Linked DNA regions of Rattus norvegicus. The protein of the gene in region 3 interacts with the protein of the main gene of each other region in a biochemical or structural test. Links are inferred from orthologs where the notes say so. Each region holds a gene or a part of one and is shown on either strand. Other genes may lie near its edges.

Region 1 (2,698 bases), on a different chromosome or scaffold from region 3:
AGCTGGCTGACCCAAGACCCCTCATCTCTCTGTACCTAGCTCCCTGATCTCTAATAGAACGGTGCCATGTGGGCTGCTCTCTGCCAGGCTGACCAAGAAAATGCATCTCAAGCACATACATCTAAATCCCGCGCATTTATCTCGACCTCGATGCCTTGCTTAGTTCTAGCTTCTCACTGTACAAATGTATCCAGAACAAAAAACGGATACTTCTGCATGGTAAAAATTTAGATCTGGTCCGCTACCGAACACAAAACAGGAGTGACTAATAGAATGTTTCTAAGGGCTTTCTCCAAGTCAGATGGGCCAGAGAGGTAGCAAAACTTAACAGCCGGTCCACCATCTGACAACTCTTTTAGCTGTTTATCAAGTACGTACTTGAAATGTTTGTTGTCAAATGGATGAGGAAAATAGCTAAGAATGAATATGGTGCTGACACACCCAGGATGTTGTTTAGTGAAATAGCTGAGCCCCTCTCCCAGGTACCGCTTATTTACTGTCCAAGTCCCCGGAAGGAAGCTGTGGAGCTAAATAAATGGCAGAAGCATCACATGTCTCACCATGTCCCCCAAGTGGCCTAGAACTCACTATGTGTACCAGGCTTAGAACCACGATCCCCACAACTTCCCAAGGATATAAGCAGGTTAGGTGCCACCATTCTAAGCTTAATAAATTAATACTTTTATTTTAATTATGTAGTGTCTGTTTATGTGAATGCCAGTGTCTGATTTAGTGAGAAGCTTTGGATCCCCGGGGAGCTGGAGTTATGAGCAACTGTGAACTGTCTGAAGTGGGAACTGGGAACGGAGATTGGGGTCTTGCAGAAACAGCACATACCAGTAACTCATGAACCCCTTGGGATAACAACTCCTAAAGGAAAGTATCAGTTCTTATCCATCCCAGGTTTAAACTTTGCTTGTAAACAGAAGACATGGTCACTCTGCAACCCAATGTTCCAGCGGAGAGGCCACCAGAGCATGTCTCTAGGAGGGTGGTATGGATGACAAGAAACTCGGGCTCACTGCAATAGCTGTTTCAACTACTACAGAGACTACACAAGAGGTTCAACAGAATTTACTTGTATATTTTCCATTTTCTATACTACTTGAAGGCATAGGATAGCTTCGTCTTAGCTTTCTACAATACTGTGTTTTAAGTCTACCCAGTAAACTAAGAGGCAGTACAACTTGAATACAACTGAGGAGGTGAGAAGCAACTCGGCAGGCCCTGGTGCTCAACAGTTCCGGAATAAACAGGTAGCGCGCAGCCGCATTAAAAGGTAGTTTGCAAATATTCAAGTTACACCGAGATTCCTTCCAAACCTCTGCCTTGCTCAAACCAGCGCACCTGGCCACTGCTAACACCGCGGCACGGCATTTGGTGAATGGTGATGGTTTTACTTTCTTCTTAATCAAAAGCCTGTGGAGGTGCTGCCACGCAGCAGAGTAAGTCAGCTCTGCTCGAGGACGAGGTGCCAATTGTGAAGTCACAAAAGGTACAGTTTACATGAGAAACGCACATTAACAAGTGGCCCAAATACAGAGCTGGACAGAACCAGACCAGTAAGTCTATAGTTACTCAACTGAACTAACATAAGTACATTCAAAATAAAGCCGGAGATCAGAATAGGTTTTAGAATCAAATTTGCAGACTTTCTTGATAAAACAGAAGAGTGACCTTCTGCAGTTGGAAATGAGGCTCTCACCTGGCGAAGAGCAGAGACTTGGCAGTCCCTCCTGCACAGGTAAGGAAATAAGTGACAAAGTCTCTTGCACTGAAGTTATGTATTTTAACAGCTTTACATGTAATATTCATATATAAAAAACTTTAAGTGCTTTTCTCCAATTTAAAAATCTAAAGAATTCAAAAATAAGGCATTCAATATTTGAAAAAAGTACAGATTTACAAAATGTGTATATTCTGTCATGAAAACTCCACACCAACATTATACACTTGGAAAAAAATACAAACAGGATATATTACAAATTTATGCAGCAATAACTTAGTTCACACCATGCAATAAAAAGTACATTAATCAAGATACACAAGCTTTTGTAGGTTCTAAACTGAAGGACTTTTTCTTTTTTCTCTGCAGAATCCTTAAAACCCGTGGCACTTAAAACTTGCTAGCCTTCCTACTGGGAGGTAAATTATACACAACGACGATGGAAAGGTGGACAGACCAGGTGTCTATTATGAGTCATTCCAGCTCTGCTCAACAATGGCCGAAACCCTCTTCTCATACTCCCGTTTGTTTTCCTGATAAAGCTGTGCTGCTTGGCTATTGGCCGGACTGTTTGGATTCGGCTCATCCAACAGAGACTAGAAGACAGAGAGAAGAAAATGCTGCTCAGTTATATGCTATATTAACAGGACTCAGATGAGGACAAAAAAATTACACAGAACAGAATCGCAAAACCTTCTGAAGTGGCATGAAGCAGGTTCCTGTGGCTAAAGGGCATAAGCTTCCAAAACAATTCCGAGTTCCCTTAAGACTTCCCATTTCAAGGAAATCAGCTGACAACACTCATCAGCATATAACAACTTCCTTGCCACGGAATGAGCAGCTAACTCTCGTTAAACTTTAACACCTGTTAAACACCTTAGTCATTTCATTTCATTTATTTTTTAGTGCTAGTATCCCGCCATCTCTCAGTTTTCTAAGACACGTTTTTTTCTGTGCAGCCCTGGCTGCCCT
Region 2 (3,658 bases), on a different chromosome or scaffold from region 3:
TACACAGACATGGTGAAAACATGGTATTCTCTATAATATTATTCTGTAATATTACTTGTATATGCAGAAAAGAGATAATGAGAAAGAGCAATGAAACCCATGTAAAGTTAAGATAGAGGAACGACGTACGGTTTCTCACGTCTCGTTTCCTTTTAAGCACAGTGGGTACGGGGAAGCAGCCTACGCCAACAGAGCAGATGTGCATATATATAGATATATACATATGTTCAGTATATACATATCACAACACAGAATGTTAAAAACGGGCAATGCATCATACTGACCTTAGGGGGTTTAAACGGATAGTCTGGTGAAAAGGTAATGTCAAGAAAGAACACCCCTCCTTCATAGACAGATCCTGGGGGTCCCAATATAGTTGACCTCCATTCATAAATGTTGTCTCCTTTGGGTCCAGCACTGAAATAAGACACACAAATGAGATGTGCTTAGAAATTACATAAAGTTTGGAATTAAAAAAATATATGGTAATAATAAATTGAGCCATTTCATAAAACATAATAAAGTCAACACATTAATTTTATCTATCATATTGTTCCTGTCAACATCATCATCCTATAAATACAACATGCTGGTATTATGTAATCCAGCAGATCCGAAGGTCCTGCTCGCAACCCAAACGCTATGGAAGACGTCTCCGAGGACACTGGCCTTGCCTGAATGTGGGATTATGTGTGAAGACCTGAGAGGGGTGACACAGCTCTGGGTCAATAGCAGAGAATTTCCAAGTGAGAAAGGGTAATGCAAAGTGGCTGGCCCAAACCCTCTAAGCACTGAGAGCACAGACTGTCCCTGACAGACACCAGGGAACAGCCACCATTCTGAAGACCCAGCCATTTGGAACCTCTTCCCCCTACTACCCCATATCCTAGATAAGACATGTTATTTTATGATTGTATTTTATAACTTCTTCTCTGTTCCTCCCTAGAATAAACATTTCTTGAGGAATAGATTTTAGCTACTAACTAACTACACATTTGTTGGCAATGACAGGCTAATGGCTGGGCAGGTCATATGACTGTGAATGGCCAACATACACCCATGTCTCCAGCAAATTCACTAAGAAGAATAAAGCCGAGTGTGAATGGTGCTAATTCTTCCCAGTGAGCATCAGGGCCACAGTATGACTTTAATTTAGCTCTTGGCACTGGGGGCCTAGCTCAGTGGTACAGGGTTTGCTCAGTGTTTCTGATCTTTAAAGCTCCTCATGGGCAGGGGAAACCCAAAATAACTGGAGGTTTCCCAGGGTTCTTTTTGTTTTATCAGGTTATTAACTATGATGATATCCTAACAGAGTGGACAACATCATGAATGCTTGGGAAAGAGTTTACTCAAAAGTCACTGTAACAAAATTGATCATAACCAAGATAAGACTACACAATGATACCATTTTAAATGTAACTCGCCTCACTAAGCAATCAAAGTAGAAGGGAAAAAGTTATCCTCACAGGTTACAGAAGGCTTTCTGCCCTTTCTCCCTCCACTTTTCTTCTTCCAGAATCCCTTCCCTTCTCTTCCATGCAAAAGTAAAACCTTTACAGTATCTATAAACTGAGAAATGATATTTAGACCATGGAAAGCTGACCAAATCTTAGGGCCCAATCATAAATTCATATCAATCAACAGGGAAAAGATTAATAATCCATCAGAAAGACACCAGCAGACATTTCTAAAAGGTAGAAATAAAATTTAAAATATTTAGTTTCATCAAAATCGGGAAAATAACAATTCAACTGGTAAATATAAATGCGTAACAAGCAAAATGGAGTGGTGCACGGTGAGTCCGACGTCTACACACTGCAGATAAACACGCTCAAATGTGCTGGAGCACAGCGCTCTTCAGTCGGGAAGGAGGGAAAGTCTGGGCTTTGTAGCATCTTGGGTGGACCTGGAAGGTGCTGAGCTCAGCAAAGTCAGGTCTAGAACAACAAGTGCTGTGTGATCTCACAGTGTTAAGTAAAGCACTGGTCTCAGAGGGAGAGTGAAACAGTGGCTTTGAGTAGGAACAGAGTAGGAAAAGAGGCTGGTTAGTGGGTATGAGCCAGGTAGATAAGGACTTAAATGGACGTGATCCCAGGTAGATAAGGACTTAAATGGACGTGATCTCAGGTAGATAAGACTTAAATGGACGTGATCCTAGAGTAGATAAGGACTTAAATGGATGTGATCCCAGAGTATGTGGCCTGGTGAGATGGCTCAGTTGGTAAAGTTGCCTGCTGTCATACCTAATGTCATGAATTTGGTTTCCCAGGAAGTATACACTGGAGAGAACCCACTCCTGCAATGTGTTCTCTGACCTTCATATGTACACTAGGACATGTATATAAACACACACGTACACATCCATGTACACAAAATAAACACAAATGTAATATGGGAAAAGCATATTAAAAGGGCTATAGAATGCTATGTAAAACGAGCAGTTCTGTGATCTACTGCGTGTTAAAAACTGATCCAGTGTCCTTCCCAGCTGTAAAGTTTATGAACTATAACAATAACCAGCATTGGCAAGATGCCCCCCAAGGGTACAATAGTGGCACTTACATGTCTTAATTAACAGCCATTTAGAGAGACTTAAGGCCGCCTCTGTTGTAGGGAGTTCATGCCTGGTACCATAAACCCAGCCAACTACCCATGGCTGCCGAGATCCCGGACCATGGCTACCACAACGGCAGCCTCCTTAACCAGTGCAGTTCCCAGCTGTATTCTAAACACCGATCCTGATGCCCACAAGTAAGTGTCGCTTTCATCTCTCCCACTGAAGCTTCCTTTTGTAGCAGTTGGAGACAACTGCAGACATCCTCATTTAGTCCTAAGATAGAGAACAACTGCATTTGGAGACAACTGCAGACATCCACATTTAGTCCTAGATAGAGAACAACTGCATTTGGAGACAACTGCAGACATCCACATTTAGTCCTAGATAGAGAACAACTGCATTTGGAGACAACTGCAGACATCCACATTTAGTCCTAGATAGAGAACAACTGCATTTGGAGACAACTGCAGACATCCACATTTAGTCCTAGATAGAGAACAACTGCATTTGGAGACAACTGCAGACATCCACATTTAGTCCTAGATAGAGAACAACTGCATTTGGAGACAACTGCAGACATCCACATTTAGTCCTAGATAGAGAACAACTGCATTTGGAGACAACTGCAGACATCCACATTTAGTCCTAAGGTAGAGAACAACTGCATTTGGAGACAACTGCAGACATCCACATTTAGTCCTAGATAGAGAACAACTGCATTTGGAGACAACTGCAGACATCCACATTTAGTCCTAAGGTAGAGAACAACTGATTTTTGGATGCCCCAATCCAACTGATACACCCATAACACAACCCCTACACTTAAGGCTCAGGAACACCACAGAAAGGGGGATAGAAAGAGGCCCAGGATGCCTGTTGTTAGTAGGGTCTACTACATGAGACAGGGAAGCCACATCCACTAAATATGAAGAAAAATATGGTTGACTAAACAAGAGCTGTACAATGACAACATGAGCTGACACACACATGTGGGTGGGGTAATCTCACAAGGCTCCTGTACTGGCTGGTTTTGTGTGTTAATTTGACACAAGTTGGAGTTACCACAGAGAAAGGAGCCTCCCTTGGGAAAATGACATCCAG
Region 3 (3,658 bases):
AAAACAGCCCAGTGAGAGGACAAATGTTAAGGCACAAATAAGTTCAAGGTTACACATGCCCCAGTGAGACTGGTGGGCACACAAAATTGACACAGGTACTTTGGACTAGCAGGATCAGAAGGGGGCATGTGATAGATAGGATTGGTCTTTTTCCACCCCTCTATTCCTACTATTCATCCTGAACGTGTTGGACTCCAGCACTAAACTTAAGAATTCTTCTGAGAGGGGTTGGGGATTTAGCTCAGTGGTACAGCGCTTGCCTAGGAAGCACAAGGCCCTGGGTTCAGTCCCCAGCTCTGAAAAAAAAGAACCAAAAAAAAAAAAAAAGAATTCTTCTGAGAAAACTACTATCCTTGTGGCCTAGGTACTTATCACATAGATATGGTAAATTCATAACATTTTAGCTTCATGATATGCAGCACTGTTCCATGTGTATCATATATAGAATATCATTGTGACATGCTAGCATCAAATTTGTTTTGCAGGATAGATGGGGAAACCTAAATATCATGTGCTAGAGACAAATAACTAGGAGAGGGAAAGAACTATTTTGTTTAGCATGAAAATAGTGCTTTGGAGCCATGCACGGTAGCTAGCACATCCCAGTACTCCAGAAATGAACTCAGAAGGATCAGTTCAAGGTCAACCTCACCTACACAGCAAGTATTAAGTCTAAAAGTATGGAATAGGTTATTTTTTTACAAAGATTTTTATATATACATGCTATGTTTATAGGTGCCCACAGAGGTCAGAAAAAGGTATTGGATCCCCTGAAACTGCAATTATAGACAGTTGTGAGCTACCACATAGGTGTTAGAAAATGAACCTGAATCTTCCATAAGAATAGCAAGTGCTCTCTAACCACCAAACCATCTCTTCAGCCCCACTTTAAAAATTATGTGTATGGGTATTCTGCATGTATGTTAGTGCTTCACATGCATGAAGTACCCATGCAGGGCAATGGATCCCTTGGAGCTGGAGGGAACACCACTGTCGTTGTGAATGGCCATGTGGGTGCTCGGAATCTCAGGTCTTCTGGAAAAGCAGCCATTGCTCTTAACTGCTGAGCTACCTCTAAGTTGTTATGGATGGTTTTACTTATATCTAATGAGTAGAAGTCAAAAATCCACCTGCCTCTGCCACTTCAGTGCTGAGATTAAAGGTATATGCTAACCCTACCCAGCATGTCAATATAAGAAACATGGCAAAACACTGTTAAACTCAGATAAGGAATGATATTTCAGCATTCACCAATCTTTCCTTTGTTTTTATTTGTTTTTCTCAGATAAGGTCTTATTTTGTAGTCCAAGTGGCCTTGACCTCATAGCAATCCTCTTGCCTTAGCCTTTCAACTACTGATGAGCCAAGATATTTTTACCTCTCTACATAATTGGGAAAAAAACCCTCAAAAGTAGGAATCACAAGAAGAGTAAGTCTTTTCAGAAATGCTAAACTTTCCAGGTGGAAAGAAAGGTGCTAAAAGAAAACACATTTTATGCTTAGGCCTGTAAATAAATACCAGGAAGCCAAAGGCTTGGTAAACTCAGTCTGCCCTCTTTCCTTTCCCCTAAGCACCACTCACCTGTAGAGTGTGTTCGATGGCATTGGGAAAGTTTTTCAGGGTACAAATGGGGATGGATTTCTCTGGTGGGTCCTGGCTAGAGCTGTATGATTCTGTCAGGAAGGGGATCACCACCTGCACATTGCCCTTTGTGCCCAGTGTGCCAGACTCTAGCAGTGGCTTCCGATAGTACACACAGCGGCGATCCATGTACATCCCTGTATGATGGGGTTGGGGACAAGGATGTGAGAGTCTTGAGACAAGGAAAGGCATATTGGGAAAGAACAAGAAAACCCAAATTCGGGGCTGGGGATTTAGCTCAGTGGTAGAGCGCTTACCTAGGAAGCGCAAGACCCTGGGTTCGGTCCCCAGCTCCGGAAAAAAAGAACCAAAAAAAAAAAAAAAAAAAAACCCAAATTCTCACTCTTGCCTTCTTTACCAGCCTTCAGAACTTACGGGCATCTACATTGTCCAGTGCATTGGCCACACCATCCAAATTTTGGAAAAAATCATCATCATAGATGCGCTCCGTGTCAGGGCCTACACGGTTCTGGTGGCTTGTCACCTGGATGTAAGGATTCATCTGTCGCACAGCTGCAGCGGCCGTGTCAGACTTTAACTTCTGTGAAATGAGGAGATGCATTTGAGGGTAGAACGTGGATGTATTCACTCAACATCAAAGAGAACTGTCCCCCTGAGCATTCATCTAATGCTAGAAGAACCAGGCCCTGAGTTCAGGAGGCTCCCTGGCTTAGCAAAATATTCTAAATAATGCTACATGGCCAGGGCTGAAATGGAAAAGATGGTGACAATGAGATGGAAAAGAAAGCAGAAGACAGGACAGTATTGTGGACAATGGACTAGCCACCTGGTTTTTAGCCTACTGTTCTTTTAGAGAGTAGCACTGCAAGTTAGATTTCCCCAAACAGAATCAGATGGTTCAACAACAAATAAGTGTAAGTGTTATGAAAGCAAAGTCAGGTCATATCCCTCCTATGCTTAGAACCTTTCCCTGGCTCTTATCCCCACTTAGGGTAAAGTGAACTGCTGCCCAGGACTTCTCAGAGTGGAAATGATACCTTCCTTAAGGAGCAGAATGAAATCAGCAAACTACCCCACTCCCAAGGGCAACTTACTCCTTTACCCTTTGCCAAGTGCCAACATTGACCCTGTATGTTACTGTTATATTTTATCTATACGGTTTCTTCATTGTTTTGAGACAGGTTCTATCTATGTAGCTCTGTCATGGAAATTACTATGTAGACCAGATTGGCCTCAAACTCTGCCTGCCTCTGCCTCCTGGGTGTATCAATAATGTATCTGGGGCTGGAGAGAGGGCTCAGCGGTTAAGAGCACCCGGTTACTCTTCCAGAGGTCCTGAGTTCAATTCCCAGCAACCACATGGTGACTCACCATCTGTAAAGAGATCCGATGTCCTCTTCTGGTGTATCTGAAGACAGTTACAGTGTACTTATATATAATAAATGAATAAATCTTAAAAAAAATAATGTATCTGTCCTTATTTTTTACCTTCCTCGGTTAGAACCTTTTTTCGTTTTCATTTTTATTTTTTGAGACAGGGTTTCCTTGTAGACCTGGCTGTCCTTGAACTCAGATCTATTTGCCTCTCAAGCACTGAAAAGAAAGATATGAACCCTGTCTTGCCTTATTTTATTCTTTATTATAGCTCAAGGATCTAAAACCCTAACTCCTAAAGTTACTATTCAGTGAGTAACAAATACTGGCTTACAGAAAGCCTCATATGGTACCGCAGCTTCAAACTCAAGAGTCACTTGGCTGACTACAATGTCATCCTTCAGAGGCCTGTTTCTAAAAGTGGCCCTGGGCTGGAGTCTAGGAACTTAGATTTTAGGGAAAGTCCTCATCACTACCCCACCTAATACTAATGGCTCAGTGTGCTAGAACTGTTTGTGTGAACAGTGTAGTTTGTTTAAGCACCTTCTTTCCCTCTAGATTCAGGAATTCTGACACACAACCAAATCCCAGTAAATGTCCTAGTTACAGATGAACAGGCTTCTCTAGCTAGAAACTTTTCAGGAGAATTATTATATTTGTTACCGGGTAAATCCACCTTCT

The links.
Region 1: of the proteins of Uba1 (region 3) and Ube2b, one has a biochemical effect on the other in vitro, tested with the Homo sapiens proteins (10 studies listed by BioGRID, with this or other methods). The link is inferred for Rattus norvegicus from reciprocal best matches to the Homo sapiens genes UBA1 and UBE2B.
Region 2: of the proteins of Uba1 (region 3) and Ube2e2, one has a biochemical effect on the other in vitro, tested with the Homo sapiens proteins (4 studies listed by BioGRID, with this or other methods). The link is inferred for Rattus norvegicus from reciprocal best matches to the Homo sapiens genes UBA1 and UBE2E2.

The regions. Positions count from the first base shown.
Region 1 is NC_086028.1:36,748,708-36,751,405, forward strand, and holds the end of Ube2b (ubiquitin-conjugating enzyme E2 B), read right to left. Parts: intron 2,323-2,698; coding exon 2,194-2,322; 3' UTR 658-2,193; downstream 1-657. UniProt on the Homo sapiens protein: E2 ubiquitin-conjugating enzyme that accepts ubiquitin from the ubiquitin-activating enzyme E1 and transfers it to a E3 ubiquitin-protein ligase. In vitro catalyzes 'Lys-11'-, as well as 'Lys-48'- and 'Lys-63'-linked polyubiquitination.
Region 2 is NC_086033.1:9,628,029-9,631,686, reverse strand, and holds part of Ube2e2 (ubiquitin-conjugating enzyme E2 E2), read right to left. Parts: intron 418-3,658; coding exon 285-417; intron 1-284.
Region 3 is NC_086039.1:4,067,150-4,070,807, forward strand, and holds part of Uba1 (ubiquitin-like modifier-activating enzyme 1), read right to left. Parts: intron 2,184-3,658; coding exon 2,018-2,183; intron 1,780-2,017; coding exon 1,583-1,779; intron 1-1,582. UniProt on the Homo sapiens protein: Catalyzes the first step in ubiquitin conjugation to mark cellular proteins for degradation through the ubiquitin-proteasome system.